3 linked regions of the Callithrix jacchus genome follow. The protein of the gene in region 2 interacts with the protein of the main gene of each other region in a pairwise test. Links are inferred from orthologs where the notes say so. Each region holds a gene or a part of one and is shown on either strand. Other genes may lie near its edges. The genes, in order: TACC1, SH2D4A and CDR2.

The links.
Region 1: the proteins of SH2D4A (region 2) and TACC1 interact in binary tests that used the Homo sapiens proteins (3 or more experiments, as listed by UniProt). The two-hybrid records come from large-scale screens. The link is inferred for Callithrix jacchus from reciprocal best matches to the Homo sapiens genes SH2D4A and TACC1.
Region 3: the proteins of SH2D4A (region 2) and CDR2 interact in binary tests that used the Homo sapiens proteins (3 or more experiments, as listed by UniProt). The two-hybrid records come from large-scale screens. The link is inferred for Callithrix jacchus from reciprocal best matches to the Homo sapiens genes SH2D4A and CDR2.

What each region holds. Positions count from the first base shown.
Region 1 is NC_133514.1:39,644,546-39,648,202, reverse strand, and holds part of TACC1 (transforming acidic coiled-coil-containing protein 1), read right to left. Parts: intron 232-3,657; coding exon 1-231. UniProt on the Homo sapiens protein: Involved in transcription regulation induced by nuclear receptors, including in T3 thyroid hormone and all-trans retinoic acid pathways. Might promote the nuclear localization of the receptors.
Region 2 is NC_133514.1:22,141,035-22,144,691, forward strand, and holds part of SH2D4A (SH2 domain-containing protein 4A), read right to left. Parts: intron 1,556-3,657; coding exon 1,345-1,555; intron 1-1,344. UniProt on the Homo sapiens protein: Inhibits estrogen-induced cell proliferation by competing with PLCG for binding to ESR1, blocking the effect of estrogen on PLCG and repressing estrogen-induced proliferation. May play a role in T-cell development and function.
Region 3 is NC_133513.1:22,941,458-22,944,256, forward strand, and holds part of CDR2 (cerebellar degeneration-related protein 2), read right to left. Parts: intron 1,591-2,799; coding exon 1,442-1,590; intron 1,185-1,441; coding exon 1,020-1,184; intron 1-1,019.

The sequences.
Region 1 (3,657 bases), about 18 Mb from region 2:
CTTTTGCTCTGAGGGCTGCCGAGATATCCGTGTTATCCTTCGTTTCTATTGAAAATGGCCGCACGATGGAAATTTTGCTAAAATCATGTTCAGGTTCTTCTTTGAAATTCTTGAGTGAGTGAGAGTCAACAGCCTGCTGTGGCACCTTATTTTCTGAAGGTTTAGAACAAGTCCCAGATGAACAGTTTTCAACCACTTCTGCTACAAGCTGTTCATCAGCTTCTTGTGATTCTAAAATGGGAAAAAAAAAACCCATCTATTAAAGAATTATCTTTCTGTCATCGGTAAATATTCTGTCCTACCTAAATTCACATAAACAAATAGCAAGTTCTTTCCTCTTTACTTCTATTAAGCATCTCTAAAGTTCAGCAAGGACGGCAGCACAGCCTGAAAGAGAACAGCTGGCACAACACCCTAAAATAAATTTTCTTATCCCAAGTTGTATATGTGCATTATCCAAGTGATAAGAATACCAAGTACACCAAAAGAACTATTTAGAGAAAGGATAAATAGAGCAACAGGCTGCTGCAATGTATATTATGTGTTGTTAACATTCTGTAGGTTAACACTGGTCTGGAGGAATCTTCAGAAACCAACAGCTACGGTGCAGGGATGCAGACTGGCACTAGGACAGTTCCTAGGCACGGCCTGACAGCTTTAGGGTCAGAGCTTTATGCAGTGAACAAATCTGAATTCAAAAATAAACTTAAAAAACCTACTGTGACCAACTCAGAATCATCTCTCTGTAGACCTAAAAACTAAAAGAGCCAAATAAGAAGCTAATTTGAAAAACCAGTTACAGAAATGGCTTTAAAACAAATAGCCCTTACTTCACTAAGACACAAATTATAAAACAATGAAGTTATTTTTTCTTTAGAACCTCTGTCTCTAAGATGGGCCAGGAATTCTCTAAATCACCTGTGAAAAATAAAAATCCTTTTAAATTGGGGTCTTACTAGGATGAGTGCTACAAATATTAGGAAGGTGTAAATGAGGTAATTTCATTAAAGTACAAAGTGATTTCCTGACGTAGATATCTGAAATAAGAGTAGCACAGAAAACTCAGTGAATTGGTTATAATATCTCATGATTTAAAAGAAAAAATTAAGAGATGACCCTCTAATCCTACTTCCTAATCCTGATCCAGGATCAGAGTCAAGTACCTCTGGAATATCATTGGAATAGTTTTTATTTTTGTTTCTCTTGAGACAGTGTCTCTGTTACCCAGGCTGGAGTGCAGCGGCCTGATCATGGCTCATTGCAGCCTTGATCTCCCAGACTCAAGTGATCCTCCCACATCAACCTCCCAAGTAACTGAGACCACAGGCATGAGCCACCATGCTTGGACAGACTCGCTAGGCTCAAGCAATCTGCTTGCCTCTGATTCCGAAAGTGCTGGGGTCACAGGTATAAGCCACTGTGCCTAGGCTGAAGTACCGTGGTGTGATCACAGCTCACTGCAGCCTCAAATTCCTGGGCTCAAGCAATCCTCCCACCTCAGCTCCCCGAGTAGTTGGGATTTGGAATCATTTTTTAAAGCACTCACATACCTTTCTCATGAATCTTTTATGATTATTATTGGGTAGTGGTTTATAAATTATACTTCACAGATATATTTCAGATAGTCTACAAATGTTCAATTAAATTTTTTCTTTTAACTATATGTTTAACTATTATTAATAATTATAATGTATTAAAACATCTCAATGCCTCATAACCAGAATTTGGTTTAACATATTTCAAAAGGATTTGTTATAAAAAGAGATAGTAAATATGGCAAAATCTTGGTAACTGTTGTCCAGGGATAGGTAAATGGGAGTTTCCATTGTACTATTTTCTCTGTCATATAGTTGCGAAACTTTTCATAAAAAATTTAAAAACTCAACTGCAATACATACAAAATTTTAAGAAGAACATTTTAAAGTGTATTGACAATTTCACTAACGTGTACAGATTCTATTACCTCTCTCCACATATGTGAACTGTTATAAATGTGTTGTTTCTTTCTGCTGATGACAGGGAGAGAGACAACTAAAAACAAGTCATCAACATCCTAGAGCTGCAAATATCTATGTGTGTCCATGTGCAACCGGCTCAGTTAAAAGACGGGCCAGGCCGGGTGCGGTGGCTCACGCCTATAATCCCAGCACTTTGGGAGGCCGAGGCGGGTGGATCACAAGGTCAAGATATCGAGACCATCCTGGTCAACAAGGTGAAACCCCGTCTCTACTGAAAATACAAAAATTAGCTGGGCATGGTGGTGCACGCCTATAGTCCCAGCTATTCGGGAGGCTGAGGCAGGAGAATTGCTTGAACCCAGAAGGCAGAGGTTGCAGTGAGCTGAGATTGTGCCATTGCATTCCAGTCTGGGTAACAACAGTGAAACTCTGTCTCAAAAAAAAAAAATACAGGCCAGTTGACAACACTGAGTCTTGAATATATCAAGGTGTAGATAGTTATTACTCCTTTTAAGTTTTAGTCCTTATTGTCAGCTTTTTAGATTTAACACAGGTGGTATAATAAAAAATATATTTTGTCTTTGTCCTCAGTTCCTGGCACAGAGCTCCTATAACCCTTGGAACCTCCTGACTGGACAGAGTGTCTTTTTTGTGCTAATAAATGACTGGGTTCTGGAGGTCCCTTGACAGCTGCAGGAAAGGACTGGTCACCAAAAATACCAAGTCAACTTTCAGCACTGCCCCTACTCCTTCCAGAGAGGGGAGAAAGGCTAGAAAATGAGCTCAATCACCAAAGCCAATAATTTAATCAATCATGCCTATGTGATAAAACTTATAAATACCCGTAAATGACAGGATCAGGGAGCTTCCAAGTTGATGAGCATGTTGACTTACTGGGAGGGTGGTGTGCCCAGAGGGCATGGAAGCTCTGTACTCCTGTAGGTATGGGGATACCTTGCCCTGTGTATCCCTTCCATTTGGTAGTTCCTGAGTTGTATCCTTCATAATAAGCCAATAAATGTAAGAATTTTCCTGACCTCTGTCAGTCATTCTAGCAAATTACTGAAACTGAGAAGAGGGGTTAGGAGAATCCCCAAATTTACAGCCAGTTGGTCAGAAGCACTGGGACTTGTGACTGGTATCTGAAATGGCAGCAGTCTCGTGGGACTGAGCCCTTAACTTGTGGGATCTGCACTAAGGAAAGATAGTGTAAGAAATGAATTTTTGGAAACCCAGTTGGTCCTAGAGAATCTGAGAACATCCAAAACAGGAAATGTGCCTTTTAACAGTGACTATTTAATAGACATGGCGCTATTTTTTTTTTTTTTTGAGACAGAGTCTTACTCTGTCACCAAGCTGGAGTGCAGTGGTGCAATCTGCTCACTCTGCCTCTTGGGTTCAAGTAATTCTCCTGCTTCAGCCTCCCGAGTAGCTGGGACTACAGATGTGCACCACCATGCCCAGCTAATTTTTTTTTGTATTTTTAGGAGAGACGGGGTTTCATCATTTTGACCAGGAAGGTCTCGGTCTCTTGACCTCGTGATCCACCTGCCTTGGCCTCCCAAAGTGTTGGTTTTATAGGCGTGAGCCATCACACCTGGCCGACACGGCACTAAATTAGCTGAGATTTTTTTTTTAAATGTTTTTTTTTAAACATCTCAGTTTTGTATTTTCTACCAAGACGATTTAAACTCATGAG
Region 2 (3,657 bases):
TTTCTCCATAATCTTAGCAGAGAAATATTTCTAGTTTTTTTAGTTTTTACTTCAGAAGGCAAGGCTTCAGACATTTCTGCTTCTATCAATATTTGATTTTAATACTTCTTTGTAAATCCTAGGATGTTAAAAATAAAATAAGATCAATAACCAGAAAAAAAATTTATAATCAGCAAACATAAGGGATGGGGGTTTCTGTAATAGCATCACTGCACTATTCTGCAGAGATTTTCCAGAACAAATGGTTCTTCCTAATTCTTCCACAGCCTAAGAGACAATAGCATCACCACCACCAAATAGACAATTCATTTAAAAAAAAAAAAAAAAAAAAGGAGCCTTTCCAAATTTTCGAAAGATAAACTTGGCTATTGTGGGAAGTGGAAAAGTCCCTCTAAAGTTTCCTTTCCTGTTAGAGAATAAGTTTGCTAATAACCCTTTATTAAGCCCTATCCTATGTACCTGTTAGACATGCTTATAGGAATGTAGTATATTCTATGTCCTTGTATTTTAAGATATCTGTGCTAGATGTGCTCACAGGCATGTCCCAGCTGGTAGCCTATGCCCCTTACCTGTTTAAAAAAGTTTTCAGTTGTTAGCCAATCCAGTTTTAGTTTGGATTGTGAAGTCTGGCTCCAACCAACAGAGATCAGACACAGCAGTAAAGACAACCACAAATGCATAAGAGATAAATATGTCTGCTTTCCTTTGTTCATTGTACTCTCGTGGCAAGAAGGCTAGTGAGGGTACCCTTTCTGCAGTACAGGAAGTAAAAAAGTAAAAATTGCTTTGCTGAGAGATCCATTGTCTCAGTGCTATTTTTCTTTGCAGCACCAAGCATCTGTTTCCAACAGCTATGTGTCCCAGAATGAGAATTACATCAAACCTTCAATCCTTGGCAGTGAAAACGTAGTCTTACTAATGACATGAAAGTCAGCAAGCCTTTGGGTTCCTACTTTGATTGTCATTGACTAAGGGTGACCTTGGGCATCAGTGAAATCCCCCCTTGCTTCCTCTTCTCCCCTCACTGGCTTGCCAGCTGCCTCTGGGTGGAAAAGGGGAGAGTGGGGTGGGGACACAGGAAGTTCTCTAACTCCATGCACGGCTTTACTATTTCACTGGGTATGCTAAATATAACACCTACGGATGTTTGACAGCTAAGAAGGGGAGGAGCGCCCGACCAGATAACCCAGGAAGAAGGCGTAGACGTCAGCCTGAGCTTACACAGGCTGCCAGTTGACCTCCCACACCCTATGGCAGCTCATACAATTCATCCTAATTTCAATGCTTACTCAAAGCCCATTGCAATGCTTAGGCCTAAAGCCATCTATTTGTTTGGCTTCTTACCTAAGAGGTTTTGGAGGATACGCTCCTGGGTTTAGGAACTGAGGCTTCGGTGGAAGGGGAGGTCTTTTTGGTTTCTGCGGAGCATGCAGGGGGCTTTGCAACCTCTCACCGCCTCTTCCTTTCTGGGCCCCGAGCGATAACCTCTTGTAGTCTTCTCGTGCTTGTTTAGCCAAGGAGCGTCTCTTCTCATCAGCTGCTTTGGATTTTCGCACTAGAAAAACAACAGGGTTGGAGAACATCCTCATCAGCCCCCAGAGCAGGTGAGAAGGCTCAGCATTGCACAACAGGCAGCAGCGCAGGTTACCAGCAGTTTGTGATCTGCTTATAATGAGGAACACTCATTATCAACACCTATGATCCAGGTCATTAGGACTTGCCCAGCGTTCACCGCAGGATTCCTCTCTTCATATGGGAGTTTGGGGATTTTCTGAGAGGGAGAGAAAAGGAAGAGGAGGAAGAAGGGATGAGAGAAGTATCAAAAGTGTGCAAGAATTTCCTGCAGTTGATAAGATCAGAGGAGTCCCTGCCTGAGCAAGGGTTCAAAGTGGCAAGGGTGCTGAGTAATAAGAGGCACTTGTCACTTCCTGCATAGACTCATGTTCAGATGCAGTGTGCCTGACTTGCTAGCAAAGATCTGGACTATTCAGTGGCATGGGGCTGTGCATAGGGTGAAGGAGCAGGAAGTGGGATAGAATGAGAATGAGCCCAACAGATAAAAAAATTAAAGAGATGCTTAACCACAGATAACTGTAGAACACATTAGAACACGAAGAAGTACCCCAAGCCTGCCTTTTAAAATTATAGTCACTCATCACTTAATGACAGGAACATGTTCTGAGAAATGCGTCCTGAGGCGAATGTAACCCAAAAGTATTTGTGTATCTAAACACCCCCAATATAAGGCTGGGCACAGTGGCTCATGCCTGTAATCCCAGCACTTTGGGAAGTCAAGGCACATGGATCACCTGAGGTCAGGAGTTTGAGACCAGCCTGGCCAACATGGCAAAACCCTGACTCTACTAAAAGTACAAAAAGTTAGCCAGGCATGGTAGCAGTCGCCTCTAATTCCAGCTATTCAGGAGGCTGAAGCAGGAGAATCTCTTGAAAGCAGGAGGCAGAGGTTGCAGTGAGCCGAGATCACGCCATTGCACTCCAGCCTGGGGAACAAGAGCAGAAACTCCATCTCAAAAAATAAAAAATGAAAAAACTACCCCCAACGTAGCAAAGGTATAGTAAAAATATAGTATAGAGGACAAAAAAATGATGCAGCTATATAGGGTACTTACCAGGACTGGAAGATGCTCTGGGTTGAGTCAGTGAGTGAGTGCTCAATGAATGCTAAGGCCTAGGACATTACTATACATGAATGTAGACTTTATAAACACTTTATACTTGGGCTATACTACATTAATAAAATGTATTAAAAATATCTTTATTTTAAAAATATATGCAACCTATTATTTTGTGTCTTTTTTTTTTTTTTTTTTTTTTTGAGACTGAATCTCAATCTGTTGCCCAAGCTGAAGCACAGTAGTATGATCTTGGCTCACTGCAACCTCTACCTCCCAGGTTCAAGCGATTTTCCTGCCTCCGCCTCCTTAGTAGCTCGGACTACAGGTGTGCCCCACCACACCCAGCTAGTTTTTGTATTTTTAGTAGAGATGCGGCTTCACCACGATGGCTAGGCTGGTCTGGAACTTGCGACCTCAAGTGATCGACCCAGCTTAGCCTCCCAAAAGGCTGAGATTACAGGAGGGAGTCACAGCACTTGGCCTAAAAAATATATACAACCCATCGTTGGCCAAAACATCATTATACAGCACATGACTACTTTGCAAAACAGTTTTTTGTTGTAGCAATGAGACTCTAATGCAGAATGAAAAAGTAATTTTTATTGAGTATATTTACTCTTCAGGCATTATTGGTCAAATCCTGTTATGTTTGACTTCAAAGAGATACCCAAAATATTCCCTTATACTAGGATTTCACTGCATAGTACAAAGAGGCCACTGGATCTTGCGAATATTTTTATTTCACAGACATTGTCATTTAAATGGCATTGGCTGTAATGGGATTGCAGATCAATTTAGGATCGCAACATCCTGCAAATGCAGCCACACCTGTGTTCTTCCTCAAGCTGCCTCAGGATGATCCAGCAGTTCAGACTTCTCTGAGTCAGACTGAAACACTACTTCTTTCTCAAACCTAATTCTTCTAGCATTCTGGAGCATCCTCTGCTCTGCCATGGGCTTCTTCTTATCCTGTAAGTTTTCTCACTGGCTCTGCTAACTGAAAAAGGAGTCAGGGCTGGAG
Region 3 (2,799 bases), on a different chromosome or scaffold from region 2:
AGTAGTGGCTAAAATGGAATTGTGTGAGGCTGGTAAATAAGCACGTGAAGGCAAACTTAATTTTTGCAACTAATATTTTTTTAATGTTAAAAGTACTAGAGAACATCCATTCCCAAAGAACAGCAGTATGACAATGACCTCACATGGGGAGCCTTAAAAAGTACTGGTGCCTGGGTCCCTACCCACAGATTCCAACCTAGTTTGTCGGCCACCTGGCCTGAGTGTTTCTGAAGGCTCTCTGAATTATTCAAAATATGTAATTATGGTTGAATCACTACAACAAATCACTGTTGCCATGGTGATTTTTAACCAGGAAGGTTCATTGGAATTGCCTGGGCAGCTTTTTACCCCCACCTAGAAATTCTGATTTAGGCCTGAGGCAATGTGTTGGTATCTGCAATTTGAAAAACTCCAGAGGTGATCTGATACACAGCAGCCAAGGTTGAGTCCCACCAAAGGAACCACCTGGTTTCTCCTGCTCAGTCTGAGGCAGCTTGCATGACTATTTATTTGTGTTTTTATCTGCTTATCTGCTGTTACATTAGACTGAAAGATCACAGGGGTAGGAACTCTATTTTGCTCGCCATCCCTCAGGTCTGGCATACAGCTTGCCATACAACAGGTGTTCCATAAATACTTCTTAAAGATTCAGACTTGTAACTTAAATTTATAAAGGCAAAAAACCTCCTGTTCGTTTGAATGTTTGTTTCACCAACATTTCTATTTTTCTTCACTCTAATGTAAAACACAACTCTCAAATCTATAGTCTATTAGAAGAAATTCATCTTAAACTATGATTTAACACATTAAAAGCACTAAGTGCTCCAAGACTTTCAAAATGAGAATTACTAATATCCAAGAACTCTACAATTTATATGTTTAAGTGCTTTTGTTCAAACCAGTGGTAGCTTAATAGCTAAGTGACGTTTCTTCAAATGATATTTTCAATCTACTGGAATTCAGAATGTGTTGACATGAGACAGTCCCTGCTGTAACTCCAGGGTAAGACAGGCTCTTACTGGCGGAGGTCATAGAGCTCCTTTAGACATGCGAAGCTGGGTGCAGCTTTTTCCTGGTCACACTTGCCCTGGCTCCTCATCCCTCGGCCAGATGACTTCAGCTCCTCCACTTGGCTCTGGAGATGATCAATGTTGGTTTGCAGGCATTCAATCGTTTCAGTCAGGCTGTGAGGAACAGACAGAAGCCACTGCTGCTTGTCATATTCAATCAAGGGCAAAAGCAGTGAGGAGAGATTAGGTACAAGCCACTCACACGGGGCTTTCTTAATTGGAAAGGATGTCTATTTAATCTCCATTCTCCGAAAAGAATTAAATTAAACCTTATCCCATATTGACCCAAACCCACTGCAGCCATGTTCTATTCTAGTTTATACTAAAGAACTTCCCCCTAGGCTTTCCTTGAAAGATTCTAGAAAATTTACCTCAGAATCTTTTGCTGTGAGGCCTTGCTGTCAGCAACTAGCTTCTGATTTGTTTCTTCCAGTTCCCTTGCTGTGACGTCTAATTGTTCATAAACCTTTGCATGTTGTTCGTTCATCTGCCGTAGAAGCTCTACCTGCTTGGTCAGATACTGTAAGAGAAGATCAGGGCCAGGTGACACAAACAGATAAGTTACCTGCTATTCCTTGGCTGGGTATGGTGGGTCACCCTGTAATCCCAGCACTTTGGAAGGCTGAGGCGGGTGGGTCACCTGACCAGCCTGACCAATATGGTGAAACCACATCTCTACTAAAAATATAAAAATTAGATGGGCATGGTGGCACATGCCTCTAATTCCAGCTACCTGAGAGGCTGAGGCAGGAGAATTGCTTGAACCTGGGAGGCAAGAGGTTGCAATGAGCTGAGATTGTGCCATTGCACTCCAGCCTGGGCAACAAGAGCACAAACTCCATCTCAAAAGAAAAAAAAAACAAAAGTTACCTGCTATTCCAACATCGATTCTCTTTACCAACTATTGTCAGGGTGGAGGCTGGCATACAGTCTCCGTCTCTGGGCCCACTGCCCTCCCAGCATCACCATGTGTTCCCCAGCCCAGAAGCTCTCCTAGACCCATTTCAGTTTTCTCCAGGCCTTCTTCTCACATCAGCATTATTGATTCAATTATTGGCCATTGGTGGCTGAACTCAATCTCCAACCGTTCCCTCTACACAGAGATTGTGGGGCTGGGACTGATATATCTAACACCTCTAATCATGTGGTTGGTTCCTCTGGTGACCAGAACTCATTCTATCAGGAAATTCCAAGGGTTTTAGAAGCTCTATGCCAGGGACAAAGACCAAATACTAATTTTTATTATACCACAATATCACATTTATTTTAAGAAGAGAAGATATTAAACTCCGTCTTCATAAGAAATGAGCACAGGCTATCCTTTACAGACTTAGCTCCCCTGATGCTCACCAATACCCCAGTGCATCGTGAGGCTAATTTTCCAAAGCATATCATGCATAAAATATTCAACCGAAAAATCTAAAGTGAGACATAATAACCCCTTAAAAGCATGTAACGTGATCAAAATTTAAGCAAAAACATCACATTTAACAGAAAGTCTAACGTGGAGGATTTTAACTTGGAAGAAAGATCAATTTCTCTGAGCAAGGCATTCTGGACCAAAAAAAAAAAAAAATGAAAAGCATGTTGCTTTGACAAGAAAAGTATTTTAGCTTAATATGCTTCAAAGACCCCTGTTATTTTTAATTTTATGAGAATGCTGTCACCTTATTCATGAGAAATTTATCAGAGGATTTATTCTGGTCCTGCATTAAGACTGCTTCCTAAA